Linked DNA regions of Coturnix japonica. The protein of the gene in region 4 interacts with the protein of the main gene of each other region in a pairwise test. Links are inferred from orthologs where the notes say so. Each region holds a gene or a part of one and is shown on either strand. Other genes may lie near its edges.

Region 1 (4,500 bases), on a different chromosome or scaffold from region 4:
AAACAGCCCAAAGTGTTTTTTCGGCTCTGAGTCCCCTCTGCTTCCACCAGAACCACATGGAAATGAGCGATGCAGGAGCATTTTTCCCATGCTCTTGCCCTCCCTGGCTTTTCTCCATCACCGGTCCCTGGTGACTGCCATTAGAATGAGCTGCCCCAAACCCTTCTTCCTTCTGTTGCTAAAGCGATTCAAACTGCTTTCATAACTTCATCAGCTGCATGGCACTTTGCTCACTATTGATGTGACAGATTCAGTTCCCATCTCTGAGATCACAGAATATCCCTGGTTGGAAGGGACCTCAAGGATCACGAAGCTCCAACCCCCCACCACAGGCAGGGCCACCAACCTCCACAATTGATACCAGTCCAGGCTGCCCAGGGCCCCATCCAACCTGGCCTTGAACACCTCCAGGGATGGACGGGGCATCCACAGCCTCTCTGGGCAGCTGTTCCAGCACCTCACCACTCTCACAGTAAAGAACTTCCCCCTGACATCCAACCTAAATCCTCCATCCTTCAACTTCAATCCATTTCCCCTTGTCCTGCTGTTATCTGCCCTTTCAGAGTTGCCTCCCCCGAGATCATCTTCCAAACAACAACAGAAAACCTCAGTGCAACAACAGGCACAGCTGCATTTCCACTGGGTGGCACAGCTCTATCAGCAAAGAGCTTCTTCTGTCACTGTGACATGACTAATGCCTACCAGCAAAACCTCATCTACAACAGGAGTCCTGCCCACATAACTGTAACTATCCAACACAGCTACGCAGATCAAATGGAAAAGAAACCAATGACAGCTTCTACTGCAGCTGCTCCATTTAGGCCTCAAGCACCAGCAGTTTATAGCTGTCCCTTCTCCATTTTTAGGGTCTAAAAGATCATCTCAAAGATGCCACACTCGAGCACTGTGCAACCATTTAGCCTGACCTGCGCCTTTACCCATTAGGAGAATAAATGGCAGTCAGACCGAAGATGAAAAGCAACAGATTCATAGTTAGCAGCTGCTTTCGATGCGGCGATCTTTCTGTTCTTTCCTACGCCTGCTTTGACGGAAAAGAAGGCAGAAGGAGGGTTTTTAGGCTTCAGATTGTCAGCACTGATCTCATCCACAATGACAACCACAATGATGCTCGTTAGCGCCTTTGCTATAAATTACCCACTACCAGAAAAAACAATTCAAAACACAAGTCTTACCAGTTTCCAAGACCTGTAAAATATACAGCCAGAAGGAATTGTAAGCTGTTCTGTTCCTCCATATAAGACAAGCTGTTCCGTTTTACAGCTGCCCCCCTTCCTAAGATGAGACCTGATCACTTCAGGTGCTTACAAACAGATGATGCCCAAACCAGCGACTAGAAATCACTGCTGAGAACTGCAAGTGTCCATTGCCAAAGCTCAATCCTGGCTACAACTTACGAGCAAGTTTTCCACCCAGAGGGTGGTGACGCACTGGAACAGGTTGCCCAAGGAGGCTGTGGATGCCCCATCCCTGCAGGCATTCAAGGCCAGGCTGGATGTGGCTCTGGGCAGCCTGGGCTGCTGGTTGGTGACCCTGCACACAGCAGGGGGTTGGGACTGGGTGATCACCTCCATCTTCCTCCTATCAACGCTATATACTTGTGAATTGTCAGCTAAACACGAGCACTTAGCAAAGGTCCTCCAGCACCGGGTTGTTTTTAAAGCAACACCAAAACTCTGTGTCATCTGCCAGTATCAGCCTCACCGATGACGAACTAAACTCCACACCCTTCTGCAGAGATTCCTTTCCAGGAAGCTTTTCAGGATACAGCCTCAATAAATGGACGCGGTTGGTACCTTTTCATGTTTGAATTCACACTGTTAAGGTCTGCTTGAATGAACTCCAGCTTCAAAAATACCTACAGTGCCTCTCCTCTCATCGGTCCCACCTAAGGAAGGGAAGCTTTGGGATGTGCCTTTTAAAAGAGCTATTATTTAAAGAATAAAGGCCTTTTTGTTTCCTACATCCCCGGACTAAACGGTTGAACAAACAGCAGGAGGTGATTCGTGCCTTCCATGGGATGCACCTCAAAATACCCCTTCCCTGGGAGATAAGCAGCTCCCCAGGTAGATCAGCAGCTCATAAGCAGCTCATAAGCAGCTGATAAGCAGTCCAGGGCTCTTCAATAGTGCACTGTGCTCCCTTTGTCAGTGAGTCACCACCTGAGACAACGAAACGACTTCTCACAAGCTACAACAGATTGGGGACATCACAGAACCACAGAACTGTAGGGGTTGGAAGGGACCCCTGGAGATCATCGAGTCCAACCCCATCTCTTCAACCATTTAAGAGGTGGGTTTTTAGGCCCAACTCAGTATCCCTCCCTCCCACTGAAGGTACAGACGCAATAACCGCTTGCATTTCTCTCCACGTAAAACGCTTCACAGTTATTTATACATCATTTCTATACCCATCCACAGGCTGAGCCCAGATCCCCCCAGCACACCCCCCGGCCGCAGCAGGTCGCTCCCCTCCCCCCGAGCCCTATATCGCTGTTCCAGCCCATCCAGCTCAGCTCCTCGCCCCTCCCCTCAGCGCCGCGACCCTCGGCACCGCCCCGCTGCACAGGGCCTGGATGGGCACGGCCCAGCAGCCCCCGGGGGCGGCCCTATGGCTGTAGGGAGGGGCGCTGCACCCCATAGCTCCGTTCCTCCATCCCCACCCCTCATCCCTGTGTGATGGTGCCCGTGTTGGGGCCGGTACCTGCGGTAGAAGCGCAGCGCAGCACAGGCCGGAGTGGAGGCAGCGGGCGGCCCGCAGCACCACCAACACCGCTACGGCAAGGAGGAACAGGAACTGCGTCACACGGCCCGCCCTAACAGCGACAGGAAGGGCGAGCACCAGAAGCACCGCCCGCTGCCATTAACACCGCCCCCATGTCGCCATTACTTCCTTCAGCCCCCACCCCACACACACTGTGCCCTACCCAGCTGTAGGAGCGACCCCCTGCTGTGTGCAGGGTCACCAACCAGCAGCACAGGCTGCCCAGAGCCACATCCAGCCTGGGCTTGAATGCCTGCAGGGATGGGGATGGGATGGAACAGCGAGATCATCAAATAAATGGCTTTGAAAATCACAGAATTATCAAGGTTGGAAAAGATCTAGAAGATCATCTAGTCCAAGTATTACCAATACTTCCCGCCTAAATCATATTCCTCAACACAACATCCAAAAATGACGTTGTCCTGAGTTAATAAGTGCTCTTTCTCAAGGCAGAAGCTTGTTGAAGTAAAGATAAAGTCATAAAACTGGTTCAAAGTGCAAATGCGCCCTATTGAGGAGATGAGATGAACTGGATGGAGCTGGAAAGGAAGCGCTGCTGCTTGTTGTGAATCACAGAATGACCCGGGTTGGAAGGGACCTCAAGGATCATGTAGTTCCAACCCCCTGCCTGGCAGGGCCACCAAACATACACCTTTACTAGATCAGGTTGCCCAGGGCCCCGTCCAACCTGGTCTTGAACACCTCCAAGGACGCGAACATCCACAACCTCCCTGGTGCAGCCTGTTCCAGGGCCTGACCACTCTCCTAGTGAAGAACTTCCCCTAACATCCAACCTAAATCTTCCCTCTTTTAACTTAAAACCATTTCCCCGTGTCCTGCCATTATCAGCCCTTTCCAAGAGTTTACCCCCTCCTGGCAAGTAAGTTCCCTTCAGGTATTGAAAGGCTGCCATGAGGTCACCCCGCAACCTTCTCTTCTCCAGGCTGAACAAACCCAACTCCCTCAGCCTGTCCTCATAGTTGAGGTGCTCCAGCCCCCTGATCATCTTCCTGTCCCTCCTCTGGACCCTTTCCAAAATCTCCATGTCTTTTTTGTACTGAGGGCTCCACACCTGGACACAGTAAGTTATGAGCAGGTGAGCTGTCATGGCAGACACTGACAGTCGCTGGTGTTCCACTATGGGTGCCTTGTGACAAGGAGTGGATTTCTTGGGGTACATTTTCTTTGCACGCTGGAGCCCTGATCACACATCAGTAGAGCCCTGATCACACATCAGGCCATTGCACGAGCTGCTTTCAGAGCTCAGAGCTGCAGGTTGTGGCTGGCGGCAGCAGGGACAGTTCCCTTCACTTGTTCTTCAGTGAACAGGAATGAGAAAATTCACATCAGTGAAACCCACCTGACTGTCTCTTCTTCCCCACCCTCTCCCTCCCTCATGGCTCCAGGCCTTTCGCAATCCTCTTCCTGTTCTCCCCTCCCCCTGCCCAATTGCTGACACTGTTTTCTGGTCCGGTGTTGCAATCTTCAGTCTCTCAATGAGTTTTGTGCCGTTTGCTGCTTGGCTTCCAGCCACGGATCCCACTGACAGATGATAACATGAAATAATGTCCCTCCGTTCTCTGGAGAATCACATTTTCAATTGCTTGCTGCAGAGGAGACAAGCTGGAAAACTTTTTCTTAGGCCAGCACTAAACTGAAGGTATTGCTCCTGCTATGGGATGTCTGCTGATCATCTCTGCAACCACGTGAGCAGCTCCA
Region 2 (4,613 bases), about 4.1 Mb from region 4:
AGGAGTCATTATATCACGCTGTTCTTTTCTTGCGATGTTAAGCAAAAAACCTTCTGAAGTCTGACACCCCCATCTCTCACCCCTCCGCGTGCCAGCTGGAAGGAAAGAAATCACGCTGTATTCAAGCTGAAGCTAAAGAAGTGAGAGCAGGGAATGAAGACATCCACGCTGCTTGCTGGCTGCTTCAGAACTGGCCTTTCATTTCTGACTACAGGGAGATCTGCCCTGATTGCTGCTCACTAATGGCTCCACTTGAATGTGGTTCTGGGTCCGACTGCTATGTCGGGTTCTGAAGCAGAACACAGCCATCCCCTCTCGCTGTCTCACTTTCAGGCCCACACAAAATCCACAGCAAGGCAACTGTAAAAGGTTGCACCTGGCAGGCAGTGAACAATGGAGGGTTCTGCAGCTCCAGCTGTGATATGCATCTTTAAACAGAGCCTCCTTAGACACACAGCAGAGCAGACCAGTTTTTCAAGCTTGAGCTCCAATGGAAAGCAAGGCAGGGTGGAGGGAAAGAAACTCCTTTTCAGCAGCCACTGATAAAGGGGAAATTCAGGCAGGAAATCAGAAGGAAATGGACCACATGAAGGAAAATTATATATATATATATCCACATGAAAACACAGGAGAAAAAATAAGACACAAAGATTCCTGGAGGACTCAAAGTAAAACCTAAAAGATGATCACAGAGAAGAAACTGAGGTTAAAAAAAAGATAGATCTATCTATCATATTAAAGAGCTTGTGTTATTTTCATGACAAAATAAAGCTGTCTGTATCTTACAAAGCAGACAGGGGGGAGAATGTGTGAGTATCACCAAATCTCTGCATCCAGTTGCTTTTGTCAGAAGGAATGAATTGCAAACAGGGCACAATTCTGCTGCTGGGAGGACAGGCAGCAATGGGAGGGGAAGGGAAAGGAGCTGGGTTTAGGGTGCCACTGTCACAACTAGAATCTAAGCCCAGCTTAGAGACAGAGAGACCAAGAGAAGTACTGGAATTTGCTAAGAAAACACAGGGCACAGCAGTCACAAACAGAACCCCCCCCCCAGCCCCAAAGTGTGTATTGAAGGCAGGGAAGCTTCCTGGAGGTGTTACCTGGCTGTGGCCTCCCCATCTTTCAGAGGGCAGGAGATGGCTCTGCAGGCATACAGCAATGCTGCCGCCAAGCACACGGCATAGGCAGCACTAGAGCCCAGCCCAGCTCCTGTAGGCAGCTCAGACCACACTGTTATGTCCACGCTGGGAACATCTCTGAAACACAAACACAAAGGTGGTAACGGTGACCTCAAATTCCATCTTGAAACGTTTCAATGGCAAAAAAGATGCCGATGGGGACAGATCACAAGAGAAGCTGGCTGAAAACTGGCAACATCAGCACATGCAGAACACATCCAACACACACGGGCTTCAGTCAGCACAGCTGAGTAGCCTCACTAAGCCATTGTGCTAGAACAAAGCCTTGCTGAATTGGATCTATGATTAGCACAGCTTGTCAAGCTGCTAGCGGGGGCACTTTGTAACTAAGCATTTGGGTAGCACCATAAAAAGACCCTTCTAAGACTTGAAAATATGCTTTTATATGTATTTCTAAATAAAGTCCAAGTATTGCAAATCCACAACTGTATCACTGCATCTACTGGAGCAAGATGAAGGTCACTGAGACACATCTGTGTCCATCATGCGCACCTGTCCTTCACTGCACTTGTCTGGGTTATAACAGCCCTGAGCTGTAGTTACCCCAAATTCTCAAGTTCTGAAGGAGATTCAGCCCCACAAAAGGAACCAGACACTGAATTCACAGCTCATCTCCACAGATGTTCTTCTATCCTAATGAAAACTCCTGCTGGGCCAGAACAGATGTCCATCTATCTGCTTGTATTGACTGTACAGGAAAGGTACAGAGATTGAAGCAGCTCCAAGTCAGGTGCTTAAGTGAGAGCAGACAATCCCTACCTGCCTGGGGCATCCCATCCCCCACACATTGCTCAGAGCTCTGAGAGAGTCCCCTGAGGCACAGAACCGAAATAAAGCACCATTCCCTTCCATTTCTTCTTTTGCAACAGATATTTGCTTTCTTCTTGTGACCTTGTGGAAGCAATTAAAGATGAACACTCGAGTCAGCATGTTTATTCTGGGGCAAGAGGAGAACCTTACCCATACTTAGCTGAAATAGCCAGACACATATAAAGAAAGGCAAGAACTGCAAGGCTGTCAGGAGCTGAAGCATCGGCAGCAATTCCAGCAAACTCTTTCAACACATCCAGCTGTTCTACGCTGGGGGACTTTGATTCATCAAAGTCAGCTACGGAGGCAAGCAGGGGAGAGAATGTAAACACTTGGAAAGCAGAAAACTGATCAGCTTGAAAGAACAACATCTGTTATATGAGACAGAGACTCTGTGAGCTACTTTTATATCCCATCTACAAACCTTCCAGCTCAAAGAAGAGTGGATGCCCCATTAGAGCACCCCAAGGGCCCCACTAAGCCTCTTGGCAAAGAACCTTTAGCTGATATCCAATTGAGTGATATAACAAAAGCAACCTGGGCATCCTCAAACTGCAATACAGAATGGTTTGAGCTGGAAGGGCCCCCCCAAAGCCCATGTGTCCCCACTGCCTGCAGTGCTCAGGGACCCCCCCAGCCCCATCAGTGCTCACAGCCCCATCCCCTGACCTATCAGTGTCGGTCCCACCTGTGACGCGGCCCCTCAATGCGCTGAGCTCGGCCAGGCCCCATTCCCTCCTCACACTGACACCGGGCAGATGGACTCGGAGCCGCTCTCCATCTCCAGGCCGCAGCCGTAGGAAGGTGCGTAGGCCCAACGCCACAGCCAGGGCGGCCTGAGGGAGAAACAGGGCGGTTAGCGGGGCTATAACACCCCAGTGAGCGATATAACGATATAACGATATAACCCTCACCTTGCCGTGCACCACAGCGTGCTCCCCGTGCAGAATCACCTTCCCCGGGGCAGACACGAGCAGCCCGAGCTCCATCATCACCACAGCGCTGCGGCCTACAAGGCTCCCGCTCCGCCGGCTGCCAAGCGGAGTGACGGCTCTATTAACCAATAGCAGCCTCACCCCGCCTCACCTTCCTCAGCTCGCACCAATCGTTGAGCTCCGTTCGGGGGCGGGGTTTAGGAGAGGCCAATCGGAGAGAGGCAGAGCGGAGTGGCGAGGCGATGGGGTGACTTGGGGGTACGGCGGCCGGGAGGGATGATACGGAGGGCGGCGGGGCTGGGCCTCGGTAGGACCGTGTGGGGGGTAACGGGGAGAGGACACGGGGATGAGGCGGGCAGGTGAGTGTGGGAACGGGGCGAGGGGGTCCCTAAGGGGCTGGGTGGCATTGGGCCTCAGGGATGTGCTCCTTTAAGGCCTAGGTCCCCTCAGGGCCTGTACAACCCCAGGGCTCTTTAGGGCCTGTATCCCCCTCAGGGCCCATATCCCCTTTAGGGCCCATATCCCACTCAGTGCCCATATCTCCCTTAGGGCCCGTATCCCCCTCAGTGCCCATATCCCCCTCAGTGCCTGTATCCCCCTCATCCCTGTGTCTCCCCACAGCTCTGAGCGAGGCCCTCGCATCACCCGCACCCCCAGAATCTACACGAGAACGGGAGATGAAGGTAAGGCTCTGCCAAGGCTTTGGTTGGAGGTAATGGGGAGCACAACTGCTGACCTCCACCTTTGGATCTTCTTAAAGGTTTCTCCAGCACCTTCACTGGGGAGAGGAGACCGAAGGGTGATCGGATCTTTGAAGCTCTGGGGACGACGGATGAGCTGAGCTCCGCCATCGGGTGAGCCCTGATACCCACTGTTGCTCAGGGTATAACACACACTGAGCCATAGCTTTGCTCACAACTAACCCTGCTTCTCCGCCCACAGGCTTGCTAGTGAGCTGAGCAGCGAGAAGGGCCATGCATTTGTTGGACAGCTTCACAAGGTGGGTGTTGATGACAGGCCTGACCCGCTGTGCTCGTTGCATGTGTTCTTAAATACTCCTGTTGACACATAGGAGTTGAATTAACATAGTGGTGCATGTTAAAATAGCATCTAGACTCTATGCTGTGATTACACTCCAAGAAATGAACTTTCTTAGCCATTAAGGATGCTGGTAGATCAAGTGGGTTAGTTATGGGCAGACAGATGTATCTGGATGTACCCAGATCTGTTTCTCCACACAGTCACAGATGTGAGTTAAGTTTTTCATGTAGCCTCAGTTTTGCAATGGGACTGTAACCACGTGGGTGTGATGGTGGGACACAGCTCACACTGTAGCAGTGTGTGGGTTATATTATTTAGCTTTGCTATGCACAGGAACTCAAAAGGATCTAATTAGAGATCATATAAAGCTTTACTAAGTTGCCCCTGAAATATCCTAGGCAATGGAGAGATGCTTCTCTTGGAAACAGATGTGCTATCAAGCCAGCATCTTCTCCAGCTGTTTGTCACTGCTTTTCCTTTGGAGGTTACTGCTTTGGTGTTCTACAAGCAAAGGGATTATATGAGCACATCCCGGCCTGCTCTCTGCACTGTCAGCCAGGATGGCTTAATGTGCCAGTGAAAACGAGTGCATGCAGTAATCTGGCTTCTCATAAAGCAATTAGGGAGC
Region 3 (4,627 bases), on a different chromosome or scaffold from region 4:
TGAGACGTGAGCTTGGGTAGGCTGGATCCTGCAACCCACAGGAGCTTTAAGGAGCAAAGGGCATTTTACTACTAGTACAGGTAATCTAAGCTTACTACACCTTTATGCTACTGGAGTGCCAGGGGACTGAGCTGACATTCTCCCAAGCCTTTCTTTGCTTTTCCCACTACATTTCTTGCTGCTCCTGCTCCCTGTCCAACATGGACATCTCCAAACAGATTTCAACAAAGAAACAGGTCCCTGTTCTTTGTATCTATGCCCTTTAAATGCATGGAGTTCCACTAGGTTGGTGGACATAGGACTCGTCTAAACTAATTCAAACCCCTGGGCCAAAGCCAGGACAGAGCAGAGCCCTGCAATGACTTGGTTAGAACAGACATTTTCCCTCAGTTCTCTCAACCACTCTACAACAAGACAACCCCACCTCTGTGCCAGTGCATCCCGCAGTCCCTTACCAGACAGTGTCAGTCTCCAGGAACTTCACAGCTGCACGGATCAGCTGCACCTTGTTTCGCTGAGTGGGATTGTCCAGAGCTGTGTTGCACAGTGTGGTCTGCAGGATAAAGGCAACTGAAATCACTGTTATCTAAAGCTCAAGGAAGCAGCAGTTTCCAGTGTACTAGGTCAAGATAAGCAGAAGAATTTGGGACAGACTGCAAGAATCAAGGAGCTTACTTAAGAGGGAAACATAGAGTCAGAACATGGCTCATATAATAGAGTCTATCCAACCTGTTCATACCCCTTGCTATCCCCAGAAATGCTCTCCATCCCCTTCTCAAACTCCCCAGTGACACGGGTTTCCCTCCCAGTCCTGTAGCCAGCATCCAGCTGCCTGCTCAGCCTTAAGTTATCCACAGTACTCAGCCAAGGCACTGAACTCCTGTTCCCACTTCAATTGACATTAGGACAGCCTGGTCTCTCTCTGTGTTCTGCCTCTGGAGACCATTTTTGTGCTTCAGCACTCTGACCTGCTGTGCTCACCAGGTGCATAGTGTAGAACTTGATGGTGTCTTTCTGAGAGTCCCATTCTGTTGCCACTGCAATGGCCAAGGCCTCACTGGGGACAGTGAAGAGCTTGGCCTGGGGTGTTTTCAGCTTCCGGTGGTCCAGGTTGATTTCAAAGCCTCCTGGGGAATCAGAGTAGAAATCCTGGGGAATTAAAGAGGAGCAGGCACTAAGGAACAACAGACTACCCCATAGAGGGAACAAGCTCAGAGCTGGAGCTGAAGGGAGCAAGGAATCAGCAATTTTCCCACCAACATCAATGTTTTGACATTGCTCTTCCCCAGATGATGCTGGAAACTTTCCCACCACATGGTTTTACTATGGATGAGGACAAGGGCAGAGCATGTGGGTGACAGACAGCCCAGCTCACAACAGGGGCTGCAGACACAGCACTGCCTTGTGATGGTAACCCCCGTGTGAGTACCAGCCCTCGCCTGCCCCAGCAGCTCCACTCACCTTCTCCTTGTGAGATGCTCACGTTCTGGTAAAACCGCTTCCTCTCTGGGGGGTTGAAAACAGAGCAATTGAAAGGGTGGCAAGGGGAGGTTTGTCAGAACACAGGGAGCCCTCAGAGCTGCTGCAGCCCACAGAACAGCCACAAAATCCCACTCATTCAAGCCCCTCTCCATTCCAGTGAGTTCTATTCAACCTGGGAGGTGTCACAATACTGGTGACATCCACAGCAATGCCCCAGATCTCCTGACCACCCATAGGAGCAGATTTCTTGCAGACACCACTTGGAGGAACCATGAACCCTATGTGCAGCAGCAACTGGATCATGTGTCAGACACGTTGCACGTGGCAGCTGAGTCACTGGGGAGGAACCACTGTCCTCAGCTCACCGCAGCCCACACGTCTCACCCAGAAGATTCCCTTGACAATTACAACCAGCTCGTAAATGCTGAGCCCATTGAATCCACCTCCTGGCTGTCACTGAACTGTGCCCTGCCAACACGGGCCCAGCAGAGAGAAGGATGGGGATCCACTCAGCCTCCTACAAGCTTCAGGGCCTCAGGAAATGCTGCAGTGCTGGAGCACAGCTCTGGGAGGATTCAGGCACCTCAGCGTGTTCCCATTGGCCTCATGATACTCAATGAAACCCTGACTCCCATCCTCGTGTTTCCAGCAATATCTGTAGAGGGGCTGCACAGCCCAGCACGTGCCTGGGAGGGGCTGGTGGAGCTCCCCGCCATCCCACCCGCAACCAAAGGGAACCTTCAAACCCACTGATGGAAAAGCAGCGCAGTGACGCCCCACCACCTCCTTACCCACCTCGGAGCCCATTTTCCCTCTTCCTCCTTTCTTCAGCCCATTCTGAAGGCCGGAACCCAACCCCTCCCCCAGCCAGCAAGAGCTGACCTTGAGGAGGGGGCTCCCACTAATCCCCCCCCACACACACACACACCGACACCCCCCGCGTTCCCCCGCTCTCACACGGGGCTCCGGGCTCCTCCCCGCGGGGCCCACAGCTCCTCACCTGCGGGAGGGGCGTATGTTCGACTCCCACCCGGACACAGCGGGCGGCTCCGGGCTGCCACAGCCGGGATGCGGCCCAGGGCCTGCAGGAGGCGGCACATGGCGGCGGAGGAGCCGAAGAGAACGATGAGGAGCCGAGAGGAACGATGAGGGGCGGCGAACGGAGCTGGAGCGTTGCGGCCTACCCCGGCTCGGAGCGGCCTCCCCCGGCTCAGCTTGTCGCCCCGGGCGCCGCCATGTTGCCCCGCTCCGCCCAATGGGAGCACAGAACGCGCTTTGCCCCTTCGGCCTTCCCGTCGCGTGAGGCGCGAGGCGAACAAACTACATTTCCCAGCAGCCTCCTCACCGTAAAACCTGCCGGGAAGGAGAGCTCTCCGCCAATCGGAGCTCCGCCCCGCCTTCTCGCCGCTTCGCGAGGGCCAATGGGAGAGCGCGGGGGCGTTGCCGGGAGGCCCCGAGCCAGGCGGCGGCGGCGGCGGCCTGGGCGTGAGGGGAGCGGAGCGGAGCGCGGCCCCGGTGGCGGCCGCTGAGCCCCGGCCACGCTGGCGCCCGGGGACCCCCCCGAGATGCCGGTGCGCAGCGAGCGGGGCCGAGCGGGCGGAGCGGCGGGACCGGCATCATCGGCTCCGTCCGGAGCGGCCGCCAGCAGTTTGGTGCCGCCGCCTCCCATCAACACGGCGCAGCCCGGAGTGGCCACATCCCTGCTGTACAGCGGGGCCAAGTTCCGCGGGCAGCAGCGCAGTAAAGGCAACGCGTACGAGGTGGAGGTCGTCATGCAGGTGAGGGACCGTGTCCGGCGCCCACAGGGCCCCGCTGGGCCTCAGGCCTTCCCTGCTTCCCTCCCTTCCTTCCCTTCCTTCCCCTCTGCTCCCCGCTGTCCGGGTTCCCCTCGCCTTGATTCCGCCCGGCCCCGATCCCCCCCATCTCCATAAGCTCCTCCCTGCAGCCCCGGCCCTTCCTGCAGCCCCCACCCGGCTCTCACTGCCCCTCACTGCTCCATCCCCTCAGGGCTGATGGGACCCGGGGTCCTTCCTCTCTTTTCCTCTCACACTTTTGCCCCTTTTCTCCTTGTGGCTGCTGAGATACTTAACAGCAGCTCTCAGAATCACAGAATGACCCGGGTTGGAAGGGACCTCAAGGATCATGTAGTTCCAACCCCCTGCCTGGCAGGGCCACCAAACATACACATTTATTACATCAGGTTGCCCAGGAGACCCCATAGATCCCCATAGAGACCCCATAGATCAGGTTGCCCATGGCCCCGTCCAACCAGGCCTTGAACACCTCCAAGGACGGGGCATCCACAACCTCCCTGGGCAGCCTGTTCCAGGGCCTAACCACTCTCCTAGTGAAGAACTTCCCCCTGACATCCAACTTAAATCTTCCCTCTTTTAACTTAAAACCATTTCCCCATGTCCTGCTATTGCCAGCAGGACTCTCCTTCTCGTTCCCCTCAGGCCTGGGGTGCCCGTGTGCCTCTGGGCTGCCATGAGGAAGGGTGGGATCCTGCCTCGTGTTGGGAGGTGCCCAGGAAGTCCCGAGCAGTGGGACAGCCTGTATTTCAGGCCTGGCTGGAACTCAGCAGGGATCCAGGTCCCTGTGCTGGGCTTTGTGTTCCTCATCCCATGGTGCCAGTGGCTGCGTGAGGAACCAGGGGAGGGGTGCAGCAGTTCTGCTGTAATGGGAATGTGAGCAGACAGTTCTGCAGAATGGGGCTTTCCTAATCCTCTCTGGAGTCACTGTCACCCTGCGTGCTTTATTTTTAGTCAGAGGTGCTGGCACATTCAATTTGGGTAGAGGTGTGGAGTTAGTGCATGGGGAAGCCAGGCATTGATGCATGTTTTCCTGTAGCAAATCACAGCGCTGTTCCTGCTGTGAGTCTCTTGGATCGGGGCACCCAGGCTGGGTGTGCAGCAGTGCTGCAGCCTGGTGCATGGCTCGGCATTGGGGAGCAAAGTCAGAGCCCCAGGGTCAGTAGATGGGGCAGTGTGAACTGTGCCCTCTGCTTTCACATCCAGTCTTCTACTTGTCAACAGCATGACTGTACCCACTACAGTTTGTTCTGACGGAGACATCCTATGGCTGTTTAGTTCACTGCATGCTGCTTTCTCGCAGAGGCTGGCTCTATCTTTGTGCTAAAGACGCT
Region 4 (4,536 bases):
GTTAGGTCCTGGAACAGGCTGCCCAGTGAGGTTGTGGATGCCCCGTCCTTGGAGGTGTTCAAGACCAGGTTGGACGGGGCCCTGGGCAACCTGATCTAGTAAAGGTGTATGTTTGGTGGCCCTGCTAGGCAGGGGGGTTGGAACTACGTGATCCTTGAGGTCCCTTCCAACCCGGGTAATTCTGTGTGATTCTGTATCCGCATCAAGCTGGCAGTTGTGGGCAGCAGCACAAAGCCCAGTTAGCTCTGCTCTGTAATGCTCCAGAACAACAGCTTTTGTGTGCAGAACACAGACGTGCTTTTGGGTGGCAGGATCTTCCTTTGAGAAAAAAAAAAAACACTGTCTGGAGATGCTGGGGAAAGTCAACCAAGTTGACTTCAAAAAACCACACTCGTATTTTGCATATAACTGTGGTTTCAGTAACTTGGATTCTAAGGATTAAACAAAAAAAGGCATCATTCATCTCTGAAAGATCATCAGCAGTTTGCAGTTTAGCCAACTTACAATACTAATAGCTACAACAGCTCCATGAAAAAGGAAGAAATCCATCCTCTCCTCCTAACTTTTCCAAGTGCTGCCATCAAACAAATGGCAATTTCCCCTTTCTTTTACTCCTTTTTCAGGTTTCTCTCTCCCACACCACCAAGTAAAACACCCTTCCGACACGTAAGTGTTAAACGTACACCAAGAATTAGGTTTTTATAATCCTCTTGGCAACAACTGGGATATATTAACAAGGAAGAGAATGTGGAAGCTCCCAGACATCAAGGCAGTTTCACTTTAAGCACAGGCTGTGTGGGAAGTTACAAGGCAGCTCCTAATGACAGGTTTTGATGCTGCTCAGAATGTTTCAGGGCTCAGAAGTGGCTGCTGGGATCCCAGGAAGGGTCAGAATCCCCTCCTGTGCTTTACCTGCGTGGTCTGTGCGTATCCTTGGGCTGGCTGAGGTGCGTACGCGCTGTAGCTGCAAAATGAATTTCAAGATGTTTATGATGCATTCAAGTACTTGTGCAATACAGATATCACACAATGGCTTTTAAAGCCAAAATCTTTCTGCTCAAGTGTTAAAACAGCACATAATCCAATAGAAAACCAAAGGGATTGCAAAGCAGACCTGAGCTAAGACTAAACCACAATTACCACACACTTACATCACAACTTTTTATGATAAAAGGCCATAATGCTACTTACCCCTGCTGAGCTGCAGCTTGGCTATAGGTGCTATAATCTACAAGAGAAACAAAAACAGAAAGAAAGGTTGACAAAGACTCAACAAAATTAACAGTGTAAGAGCAGAGCAGCTGGAATTTCCTCCAGCAACTTGAAAGAACTGCTATAAACCCCTGGAAATCTAGTTTCAAAAGAGTAAGGTAAATGCATTTTCTCAGCCTTCTAAAGGGAAACAAAACCTCTCTTCCCTTTATTGTTTCTGCTGTCTGCAGCACCAACTTTGATCTCAAATGACCCCACTTTAATTGAACTGCCATTTTCGATGGCACCCAAGGGGGCTGGTAGTGGGGTTTGGAACAAAGGTAACATGGGGGCTGACACTTACAAACCCCCCTGTTTCAAAGGGCCAGGTTGTAAGCCCTTGAGTCTGTACGAAACACAGCACTTTGTCTATTTAACTCTCAAGGACACAAACCCATCACTGGCAAGTTCTCTTTTCCCTAGGAGGGATTGCGACCAGCAGCTGGCAGCAATTCCTTTCCCCAAGCTCCAGCCCATGTAAATAGTGTGATTTAGAGCAAAACTGAAATCCAGAAAATCCAACCAGAAGAAAAAAAACCTCTCCCGAACTGGCTTGCTGCTAGGGATGGAAAATGCATGCACACGGCAATTACCAGGCTATATTTGAAATGATTACAGCTCCTACGGGCACGCTTTCTTTCCCTCCAAGCCACCAAGTGTTTCCAGTTCCCACCTAGAGCAAATGGCAGCAATGAATCCAGCCCTACGAGCAAATCTTTCCTGGGACACTCCTCCAGCTCTGCCAGGACCGGAAAGGTCCCAAGGACAGAGATGAAGAACAGGTTCAGACTTTGCTCGTAGCATCCTGAGCTGGACTCGGAAACCAAACGTGCACAGAGCTCTGCTCAGAGCCAGGCAGCCCCACACAGAAAAGGGTTCTGACGTTTCTGCTGCTACCACACCTTGTGTTAAACTGGTCTCTATTGAATAAAATGAGGAGTGTGTGCCACCACACCTTGTGTTAAACTGGTCTCTATTGAATAAAATGAGGAGTGCGAGCTTGGAGAGGCTGCCTGAAGACTATCAACAGCACAACATCACCACCCTGCTACCACTGCAGGTGATGGAATCACGTTAAAAACGCTGTTTAGAATGGGATGGAAGGAACCTTAAATATCACCCAACCTCCCCCCACCAGCTCAGGCTGCCCAGGGCCCACCCCTGGCCTGTAGCAGGGCAGTGAATGGGGCACACACAGCTCCGTGCAGCCTCACCGCCCTCTCAATGACGGATTCCTGTTACCACCTCACCTCATTCTCCCCTATTGGAGTTTAAATCCCTCCCCCATCCTGTCGCTATTAGTTGCCGGACCCACCCGCTCTCATCCCTAACGACCGTGCGCGCCCCCATTGATGCCCGGGCCGCTCTCCACGAGGCCTCGCAGCGTTCGCTGACCGCCACAAACCCGGCCAAGCGTCAGGACCGGGCCCAGCAGCAGCGGCATCACGGCGACCCCCCACAGCGCAGTGACACGGTGCTGCCGAGCACAGCCACAGCCGCTCCCGCTCCGCACCGCGGCCCCACAGCCCCGCACCGCCCGGCTCCCAACAGGCCGCAGCACCGAGGGCCCAACGCCCCCCCTCAGCTCGGGCTGCCCTGAGGCCCAGGCTCCGATAAAGGATGCGGTATGGCCGAGTGCGGCCCGGCCCGCGGCCCCTCGTCCCGCCCATCACGCCGTGCCCTCCCCTCGGAGCCCCGTGTGCCGCCCCGCTCCGCCCGGCCCCGCTCACCCGTCGACGCCATTTTCTCTTCTTCCTCCTCCGCGCTCCCAACGTCCGGCCGCCGCGGCCGCCCCGCGCTGCGCATGCGCCGCCCCGCCCGGCGGGACGCACCACTGCGATCGGCGATGGGGGGCGCTGCGGTGGGCGGGGCTTAGGGCTCCCCCCGCGCTGAGCGGCGGGTGGTGCGGCCCGCCGCCGTTACGGAGCGGCGAGAGGGGGCGGGGCTTCGGTGTGGGCGTGGCTAAGGGGGCGTGGCTAAGCGTGACGTCACGTGAGTTGGCGGGATGTGGGCGCAGCGTGTCACGCGTGGCGTGATGGTGCGTGGGGGTATGAGGGTATGGGGGGCTATGGCTCCCTGTAATAGGGATCCAAGTGGTGACATAGCACTGGGTGGGGACCCTGCTATGGGTCAGTGCCCCCCTGGTGACATGGCACTGCGTGGGTGTCCCACTGGTGGTGCGTTATGAGTGTCCCATTGGTGACAGCAGTGAGTGCGTGTCCCTGCGTGTCCCTGCTGTGCTGTGGGTGCCCCCTGGTGCCGTGCTATGGGCGATGTCCCACGGGTGTCGTGGCACAGTGTGGGTGTCCCACAGACAACACGCTGCTATTGCTTGTCCCACGAGTGTCACGGTGTGGGTGTCCATTGTCCCATAGGTGTCATAGGATACCATGGGTGTCCCCCCCTCGGTGCCGCCCACCCGTGTCCCCACCCATCAAGCAGTGACACACGGCTCTGGGGACACCTTTAATGCCCAGGCAGTGCCAGGACGGCACACGGGATGCAGCCCCCCGAGCACCGGGGTGGCCGTGGGGGCCCTGTGCCCCCCAGCACGGGGGTGCAGAGCAGCAGGGCCAAAAGCTGGGGGGGTCCGACCGGTGCATTGGCACCGGGTAGCACCAGGACCTCCATGTACACAGCGGGGACACAGCGGGGCTGCACTCTTAGGGCTGGCCAGGGAGAGCCTGGTGGGTGGGGGGTGAGCGGCGACGCTTGGCACGGGGGGGGCTGGGTGCTGGTGGGCCCCCGGGGCCGCTGCCTGAGCCGGGTTCTGGTTCTGCAGGAGGAAAGGAGAGAGCTGTGAGGCCGTGGGGTGTGGGGTGTCACAGCTCCAAATGGTCCTCAGGGGCCCCTGTGCCACCGTGGGGTCTCGAGGCCGTCGGGTCCCACATCATCCCCACAGATCCCTGTGCCCCCATTGGGTGCTGCCCACCGTAGGGTCCCCATACCACCAGGTCCCTCCACCCCCATGAGGTCTCCTGGCACTGGGACATCCTTGTCACCACAAGATCCAACCCACCACGTCTCCATCACCATGAGGTCCCCAAGTGCCACCAACAACCCAGACACCTCCCATTCTGACACTGGGGACAGAAGGGGGCGGCTGGCCCTGGGTGTGCCCCCAGCTCCATGTGTCCCTTCACAGTGTCCCCCCACCACTACCACCCCAGCATGACCCCCACACCCCAAGGGATGAGGACCCCCCGCCTGGCACCCCCGGTTGGCACGCAGGGATGAGGACAGAGCCCCTGCAGCAAAGCACAGCTGGAAAGGGGGAACAGCAGG

What was found.
Region 1: the proteins of EWSR1 (region 4) and MAPK1IP1L interact in binary tests that used the Homo sapiens proteins (3 or more experiments, as listed by UniProt). The link is inferred for Coturnix japonica from reciprocal best matches to the Homo sapiens genes EWSR1 and MAPK1IP1L.
Region 2: the proteins of EWSR1 (region 4) and MVK interact in a two-hybrid assay, tested with the Homo sapiens proteins (2 studies listed by BioGRID and IntAct). The two-hybrid records come from large-scale screens. The link is inferred for Coturnix japonica from reciprocal best matches to the Homo sapiens genes EWSR1 and MVK.
Region 3: the proteins of EWSR1 (region 4) and ATPAF2 interact in binary tests that used the Homo sapiens proteins (3 or more experiments, as listed by UniProt). The two-hybrid records come from large-scale screens. The link is inferred for Coturnix japonica from reciprocal best matches to the Homo sapiens genes EWSR1 and ATPAF2.

The regions. Positions count from the first base shown.
Region 1 is NC_029520.1:51,141,059-51,145,558, forward strand, and holds the start of MAPK1IP1L (MAPK-interacting and spindle-stabilizing protein-like), read right to left. Parts: upstream 2,851-4,500; 5' UTR 2,722-2,850; intron 1-2,721.
Region 2 is NC_029530.1:5,902,666-5,907,278, reverse strand, and holds the start of MVK (mevalonate kinase), read right to left. Parts: upstream 3,064-4,613; 5' UTR 3,002-3,063; coding exon 2,924-3,001; intron 2,846-2,923; coding exon 2,698-2,845; intron 2,308-2,697; coding exon 2,160-2,307; intron 1,257-2,159; coding exon 1,101-1,256; intron 1-1,100. Other genes in the region: MMAB (corrinoid adenosyltransferase), read left to right, coding at 3,221-3,303, 3,566-3,627, 3,705-3,798, 3,887-3,944. UniProt on the Homo sapiens protein: Catalyzes the phosphorylation of mevalonate to mevalonate 5-phosphate, a key step in isoprenoid and cholesterol biosynthesis.
Region 3 is NC_029529.1:5,012,375-5,017,001, forward strand, and holds the start of ATPAF2 (ATP synthase mitochondrial F1 complex assembly factor 2), read right to left. Parts: upstream 2,905-4,627; 5' UTR 2,583-2,904; coding exon 2,483-2,582; intron 2,111-2,482; exon of another isoform or gene 1,786-2,110; coding exon of another isoform or gene 1,710-1,785; intron 1,507-1,709; coding exon 1,462-1,506; intron 1,128-1,461; coding exon 982-1,127; intron 554-981; coding exon 456-553; intron 1-455. Other genes in the region: GID4 (glucose-induced degradation protein 4 homolog), read left to right, coding at 3,048-3,260. UniProt on the Homo sapiens protein: Plays a role in the assembly of the F1 component of the mitochondrial ATP synthase (ATPase).
Region 4 is NC_029530.1:9,977,295-9,981,830, forward strand, and holds the start of EWSR1 (RNA-binding protein EWS), read right to left. Parts: upstream 3,081-4,536; 5' UTR 3,058-3,080; coding exon 2,982-3,057; intron 1,229-2,981; coding exon 1,192-1,228; intron 965-1,191; coding exon 913-964; intron 1-912. Other genes in the region: EMID1 (EMI domain-containing protein 1), read right to left, coding at 3,915-4,027. UniProt on the Homo sapiens protein: Binds to ssRNA containing the consensus sequence 5'-AGGUAA-3'. Might normally function as a transcriptional repressor. EWS-fusion-proteins (EFPS) may play a role in the tumorigenic process.